Rhinolophus ferrumequinum: one gene and its partner. The protein of the gene in region 2 interacts with the protein of the main gene of each other region in a pairwise test. Links are inferred from orthologs where the notes say so. Each region holds a gene or a part of one and is shown on either strand. Other genes may lie near its edges.

Evidence for each region.
Region 1: the proteins of CIAO1 (region 2) and CIAO2B interact in binary tests that used the Homo sapiens proteins (3 or more experiments, as listed by UniProt). The two-hybrid records come from large-scale screens. The link is inferred for Rhinolophus ferrumequinum from reciprocal best matches to the Homo sapiens genes CIAO1 and CIAO2B.

The regions. Positions count from the first base shown.
Region 1 is NC_046298.1:16,779,087-16,786,024, forward strand, and holds CIAO2B (cytosolic iron-sulfur assembly component 2B), read right to left. Parts: upstream 2,548-6,938; 5' UTR 2,490-2,547; coding exon 2,348-2,489; intron 2,191-2,347; coding exon 2,111-2,190; intron 1,865-2,110; coding exon 1,739-1,864; intron 1,309-1,738; coding exon 1,263-1,308; intron 865-1,262; coding exon 767-864; 3' UTR 648-766; downstream 1-647.
Region 2 is NW_022680356.1:1,913,250-1,920,365, forward strand, and holds the start of CIAO1 (probable cytosolic iron-sulfur protein assembly protein CIAO1), read left to right. Parts: upstream 1-3,853; 5' UTR 3,854-4,020; coding exon 4,021-4,159; intron 4,160-4,664; coding exon 4,665-4,813; intron 4,814-4,966; coding exon 4,967-5,078; intron 5,079-5,185; coding exon 5,186-5,274; intron 5,275-5,488; coding exon 5,489-5,690; intron 5,691-6,231; coding exon 6,232-6,319; intron 6,320-7,116. Other genes in the region: TMEM127 (transmembrane protein 127), read right to left, coding at 2,841-3,084. UniProt on the Homo sapiens protein: Key component of the cytosolic iron-sulfur protein assembly (CIA) complex, a multiprotein complex that mediates the incorporation of iron-sulfur cluster into extramitochondrial Fe/S proteins.

The DNA of each region.
Region 1 (6,938 bases), on a different chromosome or scaffold from region 2:
TGATTGGAGCCTGAGTAAAAAACAACTATGAATGACATTTTGGGGAAATTCATATATGACTAGATATTCGATGGTACTAGGAAGGTGTGTTTTAAAGTATGCCATAAATCACCCTCCATCAGGACAACGCTCCATGTCACACATCGCTTCTAGTATGGCAAGTCCTGTCAAAAACATTACGGTGTGTCCTCATCCACCTTATTCACCGGATCTCGACTTCTGGCTCTTTCCCAAAGTAAAAATGACTATGAAAGGTAAATGCTTTGAATAGATTCAGGACATCGAGACAGCCATGACAGCGCAACTAAAGACACTCACAAAAGAGGACTTCCAGAACTGCTTCAGAAAGTGACAAGAACGATGGGATAAGTGTTTGAAGCGAGAGGGAGTATTTGGAGGGGGATTGATGGCAATGTGCCTTTTACTGTAATGCATTTTTTAAATTTAAACATTCATCGTATTGTTTGATCACACCTCATAGGTGTGTTCATTACTCTACTCTCAATTTTTTGGTATACTTGCAAGTTTTCCAATCAAACCATTCGGAGAAATTTTTTAAATACAAGTAAACTGCACCTCATTGACCTAGCACCACCCCCTCCCAAACCCAAAGTGACCCCACCACGAAGAAAGACTCTAAGGCATGCTGAGAAAGGAATATAAATTAAAGATTTATTATAAAATGAAAATGTTAATTTCTTATTGTCAGTGATTCAAGAAAACAAGGCCATGACCCCTGGGTGGGACTGGGGGTGAAAAGCCAGGCTCAGGAGCGGGCTGACAGGCATTGGTTCACAACCTCCAGCAGGTGGGTATTCTCCAGGGCAGCTGCCACCCGCTCCTTATCTGCAAGCTGCTTATTCACTGGGTAGAAAGGAGGGAATTATATACGTACCCCCGCCAACCAAGCCCTCCATCACCTCCTTTCCAGGACCCCAAGCCTCAATCAGGCTACCCCAACAACCTGTGCCCACACCTATCCCACCTTCTGGGACTCCTCCCACCTGCCTGCTCATGCCTACCTCCTGTACTACTATGAAGCCTGACACCCCTGGTCCTGTGTAGTTAGGAGGGGGAGAGGACAGGAGCGGGGGAATGTAGTAAGCACAGGGGACTCAAGTCAGTCCAGCTTCAGTCTTGAGCTGATCTCTCTCCTGAGGAGTCACCACGCAGCAGCACCGCCCCCCCCCACCTTGCCCTACAAACCTCCACCGCAAGGGGGAAGCCTCAGGGCCAATGCCACAACACCAGCCCTCTCTTACCTGCATGCTCTGACGCATGGGTCCCTGGCGTAATGTGCACGTCCATCTGGGAGGGAGTAAGGCGGGGCCTGAGCATTTGCCCCTGACCTACCTACCCGCTTCTCTCCCTTCCTATTCATGCCTCTGGACGCTGGCCTGTCCAGGACACCCCAAACCCACCCAGGGCCACTGGCATCTCTACTCAAAGGACAGGCCAACTGCTGTTAAAGGCCTGCCGGTGCCCCATCCCTGCTCCAAACCTATTTATAGCACCCTGCTGTCCTTCCTGCCACACTCCTCACTATTTTTCCGCTCTTGCAGCTCAGGCCTTTATTCTTGTTGTCGCATTCAATTAAAAGTCTCCTCCCAGTTTCATCTCTGCTAGTTGGGATCCTTCCAGGTCTCACTCTGATGTCCGTGTTCATGCTCTCTATGTCCCCCTTAGTACTAGCAGATGCTCACCCTTGCCCCACCCCCAGGGCTCACGTCCAGCTTACCTTGAAACGCTGAGGAAGAGATCGCAAAAGCTTGACTTTGATGGACAGGCCAATAAGGGTGGCCATGCTGCAGTGAGGAATGGTGGGTGTGAAGGCCACCGCCACTGTGCTGTCAGGGTCGCTCACCTGGTTGGTGGGGGGTGTTAGTCATGGCCCTTTTAGCCCAGAGCTGCTCTTCTTAGTTTGTGGCTTCAGGCAAGTCATCTAACCTCTATGGGCTTTAGTTTCCTCATCCATAAAATGGACACAATCCCTCCCTTCCAAAGATCCCCTGAAGAGTCCGTGAACTGAAAGAACGCCAGACCCTGGGCGCTCACGCAGCTTTCTGACTCTCCCAAACAAGTCGCTCACCTCCGACGCTGGGTAACTCACCTGAACCCGGACTTGCTCTACGACGTTCAATTCTTCCAGCGTCAGTGGATGCTCCGGGTCATTGATAGATCGAATGAGATGTGGCAAGTGAAGGAAAGCGGACTCTGCGCCTTTGCCCACTCAGAACCCCCCTCTGGGAATGCCTGGACATGATACAGCTCCACCAACTATCGGACGTCACTTCATGCCCCCTCCCAGGCCCCTGCGAACCCGCCCGCGCCCGGCAACAGCGGATATCGAAGATCTCGCGCGCGTCGATAATGTCCGCAACCTGCTCGTCCTCCTCGCCCGCGGTCACTGGCCGCTCCCCGGAGCGCTCGTATATGAGGGGGTTAGCGTTTTCCAGGAGGCCATGCCGCGTCCCACTGCCACCCACCATCGCGGAACCGCGGCAGACCCCAGTCGGCAAGCACTTCCGCTCCTTAGGGTGTACTTCCGGGGAACGGGAAGGGGCGTGGCGGGACGACGGGGTCGCGCGAGGGACATGCAGTGCTGCGGCTGGTCGGCCTAGGCCTTAGGAGGGCCTGCGCCCTTCGCACGCTCGCTGTGCCGACTCCCGAGGATGTGACCGCTACGTCTAGGCACAGAGAAGACGCGCTGGGCGGTGAGGTCCCGTAGCGTGCTGGACCGCGGAGGCCACAGCGGGTTCTCGGGGGCACTGAAGACCAGTCTGAGATTGAGCCAGGTGTATCTTCAGGCACCACTTCCTCGGACGTTTGTCCCTTTAGGCTGGGCGGGCGCTTCTGTTCCCATAGTTGCATCTTTCCTGGCATACGTTTCGGTACCTCCCGGGGATGCGCCTGCATCCCCCGCCGCACCATGGGCCAAGGAGTACCCTGCAGGGTCCCCACAGTGCAAATCAGGAGACATTCTTTAAATGTTTATCAAATGAATAAGTGACCGTTGACTCGATCTTGGCGGGAGGTGGGGAGAGGGAAAGCCACGTGGTAGGGTTGGGGGTATCCTTAAAACAAGTGCCACAGTCACATGTGCATTTCAGAAAGTGAGCTATGTTGCAGGTGGGAGGGGGTCCGTGGAGCCCTCAGACTAGGGACAGACAATAAAGAGATAAGGAAGGTGGACCCAGGAAAGATCTTGAAAGGAAGGAGGAACTTTCAGGATGAAGGGCGGTCACACCCCCCTGCCTTTCCTCATGCGGTTTCCTTCATGCTGAACCTAGATCGTTCCCATTTCTCCATCTGTGGGAATCCTGATGGTGCACCTCCTCAAGGAAGCTCTCCTGGGTTCCTGGCTTCTTCCCTTCCCTTTTCCTGGCTTAGAGTTCCCTTGCTCCACCCCGGAACACCTTTGTCAGGCCTGTAACTATAAGGACACTGAACTCAGGTTTGAGGAGAGGGTTCATCGTATTGCAGAGGGGCTGCAGAAGCCTCGCTGGCCCCTTCCGAGGTGACCCAAGGGGGCCTGGGCAGAGGGGAAGCGGCCGTGCTAGTGCCCACCTGCCACTGACCTTTGCTTGCTCAGTTCGGCTCTCCTGCCAAACCCACCTTTCTTTCACCCACTTGGCGCGCTCCACCTACTCCCTGCCCAGTTCAAACTCCCGACCTGAGAGGCTGGTGGTGGCAGTGAATTAAATGGACAAACATCACATCTGCAAGGAACTGTGTGTAGATAGCATGTCGCTCAGGAGAGGGGTGGGCTCTCTGACTTGGAAAGGCATCGCTCAATTGCCCTCTGTGGAACCTGTGAGTAGCTGCTGACTCTAGCCTTACATCAGGTGGCATCAATCATATTAACCCATGTTGGTCTAAAAGGTACAGGGTAGTATAACTCCCTGAGGATTTTTCTTTTCGTTTTTTACATTGTATTATGAAACCAGGCTCAGATCTGCCAAATTCCGCAGATGCAGAATCTGAGCCTACAGGAGGGAAGGCGCCGGGGAGGTGAGAGTCAGTAAAGATAGCACCAGGGAATTTGGGAGCCTAACTGGATACGTCCCTGCACCCTGAAGCCCAGAGAGGGTATGGGCTGCCCAAGGCCACACACCACCAAGGGGCTACCTGTCAGAAGTAGAGAGTATAATATAACGAACCCAATGCATCCATGATCTACTTTCAACAATAATCAAAAAGCTCGTTTTGTCTGGATTATCACCTCTCCCATGCACCATTATTTGAAACAAATTCCAAACATATCATCTATAAATTTTTCAACATGTCCTACTAAAAAAAGCTGTGTATATGTATATATAATAAAATATCTAAAATGTTCTTATTTCATATCTCATAAATGATAGATTTACAGGGTTTTTTTTTTTAAAAAAAAATCAGGATTCAAATAAGGCCCATACTTTGAAAATTGGTAAATGTGTTTTTCTTTTTATTAACAGTTTTGAGATATGATTCACATAGCTTACTACTCTTCACCATTTAAAGTGTACAATTCAATGGTGTTTAATATATTCACAGAGTTTACCACATCAATTCCCCTTTGCCCCCACCCCAATCCCCAATTTCAGCCCCAGCAACCACCAATCTACTTTCTAACTCTATGGATGTGCCAATTTTGAATGTTTCACATAAATGGAATCATCCAACATATGGTCCTTTGTGATTGGCTTCTTTCACTAAAAGAAGGTTCATCCATGTTGTTGCATATTCAGTACTTCTGTTTTATTATTGCTGAATAATATTCCATTATGTAGATATGATACATTTTATTGATCCATTTATTAGTTGATGGACATTTGGATTGTTTCCACTTTTAGCTATTATGAATAAGTGTGCTATGAACATTCATGTACAAGTTTTTGTGTGTATACATGTTTTCAGTTCTTTCGGGTTTATACCTAGGAGTGGATCTGCTGGCTCATATGGTAACTCTATGTTTAACCACTTGAAGAACTGCCAGACTTTTCCAGAGCACCTGCACCATTTTACCTTCTCACAGCAATCTATGAAGGTTTCAGTTTTCCCACATCCTTACCAATATTTGTTATTATTTACCTTTTTTATGAATTTCATGAGTCTTTTTCAATCTTCAGATTCCTCCTCTGCCTCTCTTTTATTTTCCTTGTAATTTCATTGTGTTGAAAAAACCAGTTTATTTGTTCTGGAGAGGATACCAAAGTTTGGGTTTTGCTGATTATACCCCAGTGATGTCTTTTAACTGTTTTTCTGTCCCCTGTATGCCTATAAATTTGTATTTATATTCTAGAAGCTTTATCAGATTCAGGTTTCATGTGTTGCTTTGTTTTGTTTGGGAGCAGAACTACTTCACATGTGGTACTATGGACTTCCAATAGAAAACATACAATGTCTGAGTGTCTTGTTTTTTGTGACAAAATAAGTTGTTGACATGACAGATTTCAATGTGCGTTTCTCTTAGCATGAGTGAGGTGAACATCTCTTCATTTGTGTAAGAGCCATTTATTTGTTTTCCTTATTCTATCTGAACATATTCTTTCACCAAATATGCACAGCCGGCATATTTCTTATTTATTTCTAGAAATTCTTTGTCTACTAAGAATATCGGCTTTTTCGCTGTTAGGTCACTTTCAATCACCCCCTCTAGGGCAATCCCCATAGCAGGACAGGCTGCGCCTCTTATGTTGCAGACTTCTTATGTCCACTTCTCTTTTGTAGATCTCCTCATAACACCACTCTTTGTCTGGAGGATGCTTTCTTTAAGTCATTTTTTGCCACCTAGAGCATGAGATGAGAACCCTGAATGTCTGATTCTCTCAGTTCTCCTACTCCTCAGATGACCTGGCACGCAGTCAGTGGAAAGGACACTCACCCCATCAAACTCATGTGACCATTTGCTTGAAACTCCTTGGACTAAGCCATGGTGCCAGGCCTCAGGGAGCTTCACTAAGTGTGGAAAAGGCTGGGGCTGGACCCAGTGAAGGCAGTAGGGGGTGAAGGTGGAGCAGGATTACAGGCAGGAAATTTATAATACAAATGTTTGTAGATCAGAGCCCCTTGAACTGAGATGAGGATGGGAAGGAGTGGGCAACATCAATAGTCTGGGGGGACAGCTGATTGGGCAGACACAGTGTCCATTTCTCTGCCCACAAGCCAGCACTCTGCCAGCCCCATCTGGACCACACACACGAGACAGCTTCAGGGGAGCCTCATCCACATGAAGGGCACCGATGTGGGGGTCCACACCTTCCTGGGAAATCCCTTTGCCAAGTCACTTCCAGGGCTGCTGCAATTTGCACCCCGAGAGTCCCCTGAATCTTGGAATGGTGTAAAGGATGGGACCTCCAACCCAACCACCTAAGCAGGGCGTTCAGGGAACTCCACGCCCTGGGGTAAAGGGTACTCTGAACTCTGGGCTGGGCTGCAGTTGTCATTTCATCTAAACCCCACGGCCAGTTCCCCCTCTGAGTTTGGTGGATTCCCATATGCATTTTTCCTCTACGCCTGCTGAGGTTTGGAAGGGTGAAGTAACTTTCCCAGGCTCAGGGCTTGGCACTTAGGGCATTAGCTCCTGCCGAAGGGATGAGCAGAGACATATATCTCCCTAGGTTCCAGTTATGCCAAGTATTCTCTGCCACCAGGGAAGGTGTCTCTGGGAGAGGTTTGGGTGGGCTCCATGAACTTTGTAGGAGCCCCTGACTCTAGCAGTAGGTACTGTAGTTCCCTGAAGAGTAGGGGACCCCCATTCTGCACAGTCATTGCGCCAACCAACAGGGCCCGGTGCCATGGGCCAAGGGGCATGTGTATGTTCTTACAGCTGGAAACGGGGGGAGCGATGAGGTTCCCTAAGAGTCTGACTTGGGATGTGGGATGAACCACTGCCCTTCTCATAAGAAATTAACATCCATTCATTCAGGCAGCACAGGTATGTGGGCTACTTTGTG
Region 2 (7,116 bases):
TGAGGCCACAGGGGTCAGAAGCACAGCTTTGGCGGGGCTTGTGAGAACACTCAAGCAGAATGGGAAGTAGTAAGCTTTGGACTGCTCTGACAGCAGAAAGAAGCTGGGGCGGCGGTAAGGATGGAGGCCTCGCCACGCAGACGGGCTGTATGGTTCTGAGCAAGTCACCTGACCTCCTTGAGCCGGAGACTGCTATGAAGTGGCGGGGACAACAGTACCTACCAAATGAGGGGTTGTTAGGAGAAACTAAAGCCAGGCATGGAGTGTGCTGAGCACAATGCCTCGCCCCCAGGCAGGGGCCCGAGAAACGGACTCCCTGTCACCTGAAGAGACCTGGTAGGGTCTGTCCTTCCTCTGGAAGCATCTATAGGGACCAGACCTGGCTTCCCTGCCAGGACATCTCTTAGGCTCTGAGGATCAGCATAATCACACAGGACAGCTCACTGGGTACCAAAAAACCACAGATAGAGAGACAAAAGAGAGAAGAGAAGCAATAAGGGACCTCCCGACTCCTTGCCACCTTCTATGACAGTTCATGAAGGACCATACCAACACTCTTACGGATGGACACCAAGTGTTCCTGGCTTGCAATGGCTAAGGACATGGCCACAGACAGCAGGCTGGGACTGTCCCCTAAACTCATGGGCAAACGTAATATAAAGGTAAGGCAACATGCTTTCCGAAAGACAAAACCTAGCCCGAGTAGTTCCTTACGAACTACGAACGGTAAACGGATGCGAACGAAGGAGAGCCTGCAGCAAGAACTGGTTTCTTACATGCCTTTGGCAAGGACGCACACCAAGATGGAATAACCTTGAGATGATTCCTATGTCAGCTAAAGTAAAACAAAGGATAAAAAACAAAGGCGACAGCAACATTTTATGGTGAGTCAAGAGACGAGAGACAGACACACCTCTGCCACCCCCAGCCGTGTAGCCCTGGAGAGACCACTTCACTTCTGTGAGACACAGCTTCCAGGATCTCTGAAATAAGGACCTGGGCTCAGACTGCCTCTCCCTCCATCACATGGCCTCCCCAAAAATGACCTGAAAGGGAGAAGAATCCGGAACTCTCTCACAGTTTGCAGGCAACACCAGGTTCTGAAACACTGAAACAGCAGGGAATCAGTGCAAAGATCTGGAAGAAGAGGTGGGAAGGTGACATCTGCGCTTCAAAGAGGGCTGGAGAGGAGAATGCGATGAGGGACAACCATCCAGACTCCGCCGCAGCTTGATGGCATTTCTGCCATCAGACACATGCCAGAGAAAAAGCTGCATGTCACAAGGCCTCCATCGTGTGTATAACTTCTGTCTTAGCCAACCCAGAGAAAGCTATCATCACGGAGGAACCTGAAAACAAATCAGAAGCCCCCATCCTGTTCTCTACAAAAATCATCCTAAATCCTTAAAAACCTGAGAGAGATGCAAAACAGTCAGAGAACTCTTGGAGAAAGATAACATTAGGCCACAGGAATAGAGCTTTTCAGCCTGGCCCTGCAGAAGTGGTGTGTAATCCAAGGCCCAGAGGAGAACTTGAGCTTTTCACCAAATCCCAGTGCATGAGCCCTTAAAGAAGCAACATGAAGATATCTAACAGGAAGGGATTCTGAGACATGGGGCGGCAAACATCCGGAAGGCATTACAGCCAGGGAGTGGCACAGGGAGGAATACTAAAGACCTACAAGAATGGTTCAAAAGACCATGGGGTGGGCCGGCTCGGTGGCTCAGGCGGTTGGAGCTCCATGTTCCTAACGCCAAAGGCTGCCGGTTCGATTCCCACATGGGCCAGTGGGCTCTCAACCACAAGGTTGCCGGTTCAACTCATCCAGTCCTGCAAGGGATGGTGGGCTCCGCCCCCTGCAACTAACAACTGGACCTGGAGCTGAGCTGCACCCTCCACAACTAAGACTGAAAGGACAACAACTTGACTTGGAAAAAAGTCCTGGAAGTACACACTGTTCCCTAATAAAGTCCTTTTCCCCTTCCCCAATAAAATCTTTAAAAAAAGACCCTGGGGTGATGGGCTGTGCTGTTACTAAGGGCCATGTGGGGTCCACTGACCACCAGTTTCCAGGTAAAAGCCAGGCAGTGCAGTCCTGCCCTCACACCGCACAGCCTGTACCCTCACTGCTGCACACAGGGCTGGCAGGAGCAGCTGCGGCCTCCCTGGGACAGGCACCCCTTGGTCGTGGCCACCCCTGTGTCCGGTAAGGAGACCAGTCCCTTTCCCCCTTCTTCTGCCCACCTGCTGAGAAGCATGATGAGAACGGCAGCCTCGCCTCAGTCAGGGACACGTGTATGGTTCCAAGAGCCAAATTCCAACTGCTTTACTAAGGCTGGAACTGACTCCTGATTATTGAAAATAACAGACTTCCCTTTTCTCTAATAAAAACCCAACTACTGCAGAACTCAAAAATAGCTTTTAAAATCCAGCTGTATTAAAAGTTCCTTTTTCTCCATCAATCAGCTGCCCCAAAGAAACCTTCCCACATCCCACAGCTCCTTAGAAGGGGCCAGCTAATTGTAACGCCTAGCACCTTATCTTTTCTCCACACGCAGCGCCCCTCCTCCAGCATTATCCTAAAATAGCAGCAGTCCGGATTAGCACGGCGGGAAGAGTAAGGGCTTGGCTGAATAACATCTTAATTAATGAGGGGCGGGACCCCAAATAGAGCCATCCAGTGGGAATGAACTGCAGGCAGGAATGGGGGGCTGTTTCCTTCAACCAAGTCCTGCCCCTGGCTGTCTCAGCTTCAGGCCACACCACATTCTTCTGCTCCCCACCCCGCGGAAGAGCCCCGATCGCCCAGGAAGAAGAAGGCCAGCGTGCAGCGCCCTTACCTTTCAGCAGGTCTGGGTGCACATAGCCCAGCACGTCGGAGACCCCCAGCTCCTGGCGGGAACAGGTGCCACCGTGGATGTGTAGCCAGGCAGGCTCCGCGAGGGCAGTGCACAGAGCCGTGATGGAAAGGGCGCCCGGCAGGGCCGAGGCCAGGCTACGCTCCGGCTGCTTGGGCAGAGCGCTGCCTCCCGGGCTCCTCCGCCGGCGCCCGCCGGGCAGCCCGGCGCCTCCGGGGGCGTACATGCCCAGGGGCCGCCCGCCGTCGCTCCGCGGTCACTGCTGGTCGCCGCCGACCTCCGCGGGGCACGCAGAGCCTGCCTGTTTCAGGGAGAAGGCAAGTGGTAAAAAAAGGGCTGCCGGGGCAGACAGCGGAGGCTGAGGGGTAGGACCTGGGCCCGAGCGGAGACAGGAGGACTGCAAGGATTCAGGGGCGGGGACGGGGTCCCTGGAATGGGAGGTGCGGGGTGAGGACTCGGAGAGCGCTAGGGGCCGGCTGGGAACTGGGCAGACCCGGGGGGGGGTTGGGGAACGGAGGTGTGGGCTACTGGTGGGAGAGAGACCCGGACCCAGGGTCTTGGCCAGAGGGCACCGAGGGGAGAAGGACCAGGCTGGGCCGCGGGGAATCCGGAACCCGGGATCCTGAACCGGCGCTCTGGGTCGCGACCTCTGCCCAGATAGGACCCTCCCCACACCGACCGCTGTTTCTCACCAGTCAGCAGCCCTCAGAGCCGGGATGGCGCCGCTCTGTTCCGTCTCGGGCTCTCCAGGTGCCTGGGGCCGAGCTATCCCAGGCCCCAAACCCGCAACGCCCGGACCGACCCGGGTACGACCCACTTCCGGCTTCCTCTGCCTCTGCCTCCGCCTCCTCGGGCTCCCCGCCCCGTCCCCGCGCGCGTCACAGCCCGGCGCGCCGCCGGCTCCCTGCGCGGGGCCTCACGGGACTGGTAGTTCGAGGCAGTACCGCAAGGCTTTATGCCGGGGAGTGGGAGGCCGACTACAACTCCCAGAGGGCAGCGCGGCCGCAGCCTCAGGCACTTCAGTTCCCGGGACGACCCGGGCTCTCGGGCGGAAGAGGCCCGAGCGGTGGTCGCGGAAGCCAAGGGGGCGTCGTGGACACCTTAGCGGTGGGACCCGCGGTCGAAACTCTGCCACCTCCTCCTCGTTCTTCGCCGGGCAGCCATGAAAGACTCGCTGGTGCTGCTGGGCCGTGTCCCGGCGCACCCGGACTCGCGCTGCTGGTTCCTGGCCTGGAACCCCGCCGGAACCCTGCTGGCCTCTTGCGGGGGAGACCGCAGAGTCCGCATCTGGGGCACGGAGGGTAAGGCCTGGCCTCGGCGCGCGCCCCCGCTGCCGGGGACTCCAAACTCGCGGGTGCGCGGCAGGCGGACACTGGCTGGAGAACGGCCCGGGGAGAGGGGGGACAGGCCTCCTGGAGGTGGACGTTAGCCACACTGAGAAAGACTTTTCTGGCAAGTACTAGAAGCAAAAACGTCAGGAGACAGGTGGAACTGTGGAGATAATTGTGATAGTTGCTGAGGCAAGAAAAGGAGAAAAGGACGGTGAAAAATAGCCTGCGGAGTAATTTACGAGGACGGTGAAGTTCACGTTTTATGCCGAGGGCATTGGGGAGCCACTGATCATTCTAAATTGGGGATTTGTTTCAGAAGGGTGATTCCTCAGTGGAAGTAGCGTCAGTTACTTCTTTCTGAAAGCATGTTGTTAAATACACCGGTTGAGCTGTTGCCCCAGTTTGGCTCCAGTACTAGCCCCCATTATTAGATGGCTTTGATAGTGTCCAGTGCCTGGTTGTCCTCTGCTTTTAGGTGACAGCTGGATCTGCAAATCTGTCCTTTCTGAAGGCCACCAGCGCACTGTGCGGAAGGTGGCCTGGTCTCCCTGCGGCAATTACTTGGCCTCTGCCAGCTTTGATGCTACCACTTGCATTTGGAAGAAGAACCAGGATGACTTTGAGGTAACCAGGCTGGATGGGACCAGGATTGTTGCTCCTTTGTTCCCCAAAGGTGGTTCAGAAACCTGAGTCAACCTGGGCCCATTGAGCTGTACCCATGAAAAGCATCCCAGAAGTCTTAGCTGCCGTTGATTCTTGACTCTCTTCCCTTTTCAGTGTGTGAACATTCTGGAGGGCCATGAAAATGAGATCAAGTCAGTGGCCTGGGCCCCATCTGGCAACCTCCTTGCTACCTGCAGCCGAGATAAGAGTGTGTGGGTCTGGGAAGGTGAGTCCAGGTCCCTCCAGGAGCACTTGGGAGTTCACGGACAGACATCCGCCTCTGTGACCCTGACAGGGTCATCTCATGGACTCCATTCCTTTTTCCTCCCGCAGTTGATGAGGAAGATGAGTACGAATGTGTCAGTGTCCTCAACTCCCACACACAGGATGTTAAGCATGTGGTCTGGCACCCGAGCCAGGAGGTAAGAGTCACGCAGAAAATCTTGGTGGGAAGGAGTTCCGGTATGGAGGCCGTGCCCAGGCCTCTGCTCTTCTGTCTCGGCCTGGCTGTTACAGGGATCACTGTCTGTGACCAAAGGAGAGACAGTTCCCTGGGACTGGCCTGTCCAAGCAAGGAGAAGTATTGGGATCACAGGCACTTCCTGGGCCATAAGTGCTGTTTCCCTGCGTCCCCAGCTGTTAGCCTCTGCCAGCTATGATGACACAGTGAAGCTCTACCGGGAGGAAGAGGATGACTGGGTATGCTGTGCCACCCTCGAGGGCCATGAGTCCACTGTGTGGAGCTTGGCCTTTGACCCCAGTGGCCAACGTCTGGCGTCTTGCAGTGACGACCGTACGGTGCGCATTTGGCGCCAGTATCTACCAGGCAACGAGCAAGGTAAGCAAGAGAGTGGAGCTGAAGGAGACTGTCCATGAAGTTGACAGTCTTCTAGGGCTGAAACAGTAGGCAGATTGGGGCAGAAGGGGGGATGTGCCGCCAGGGGGCACCAGGGAATGCTGGCAGAATTAGGGAGAGCTCCGGGGAAGGGTGCATAGGATTTTAACACGACCAGAATTCTGGGTGAAAACAGAATGGCATGAGCCAAGGCATTAAAGGTGGGAAAGCCTAGACTTAACTAGAACAGTGAGTCCTTTAGATGGAGCACAGGGTCTGAAGGGATTGGAAGAAAGCAGGTGGGTGGCCTTCAAAGGCAGTCTAGCTAGTCAGTCTGCCGCAAAAGGGTTCTTGAACAGGACATTTCCTCCTCAGAATTCTGCTGTGAAAACACCAGTCAGGCCACAGTGTGAGGCAGATCTGTGAGGAGTGATGATGGGGCCTCATGAGGGAGGGCAGTTAGGATCTGTGCAGTGGGGCAGTTACTCCTTGAGGTGCCCAGGACACAGACATGTCTTGGACTCAGCAGAAGTCTGTCGTGCAGGGGTGGTGTGCAGCGGCTCTGACCCCAGCTGGAAATGTATCTGTACTTTGTCAGGCTTCCACTCCAGGACCATTTACGACGTTGCTTGGTAAGACCTCCATCTTCAACCCCCACCCCCAGTTTGCAGAGGTTTAGAGAAGTCAGACCAGTGCTGCTCTCTGTCCCCTTTGGGTGTGCATGGGAACAGAGAGCAGCACCCTCACTTCTTCAGAACAGGCCACACTATGCACCCTGCTGGCTTAGAGCTGCCAGCCCGGTCACAGGACCTGGGACAGACTTAGACCCAGGCCTACACCTTGCGTCAAGCTCCCAGGCTGTGAGGGCAACACTGGCCTTTGGGGTCACACAGCATCGCACCATCCAGAAATACTCATTATTGTAACTGTGGGTTCATGGCTGGGGTTGGATAGTTTATAACACTGGCTCTGCCTTGAGGAGGCTACGAAAGCCACACCATTCCCGTGGAACAGTCAGTCAGAGGGCAGTTCTGACCCAAGAATCTATTCCTAGGAAATAATCCTAAGTAACGAGAGAACAAAGTCTAAGCTTTGTTTACATTAGCAAATATTTGGGAATAACAAAAACAGACTTAAGTAAAGTATGGTTAACTTCATTGGCTTGTTATATCTCGGTTTGAAAAAACTGGTTGAGCAAGCTTCATGACGAGAGAAACTGCTTATGCTCAGTGACAAAAGTACAGTTCAGAATCACGTAGTTTTTTAGGTTAATTACAATGGGGAGAAACCTAGACGGCAGCACTTGAACACTTACGGGGTGATGTTTGTGCCTATGTGTTAGGAGAGACCTTAGCTGAGGCCTGGGACTGTACAATCAGTCTGCTCCCTTGCTTGCTGGGTCGGGGAGGGAGGGGCCACCAGCAGCCAC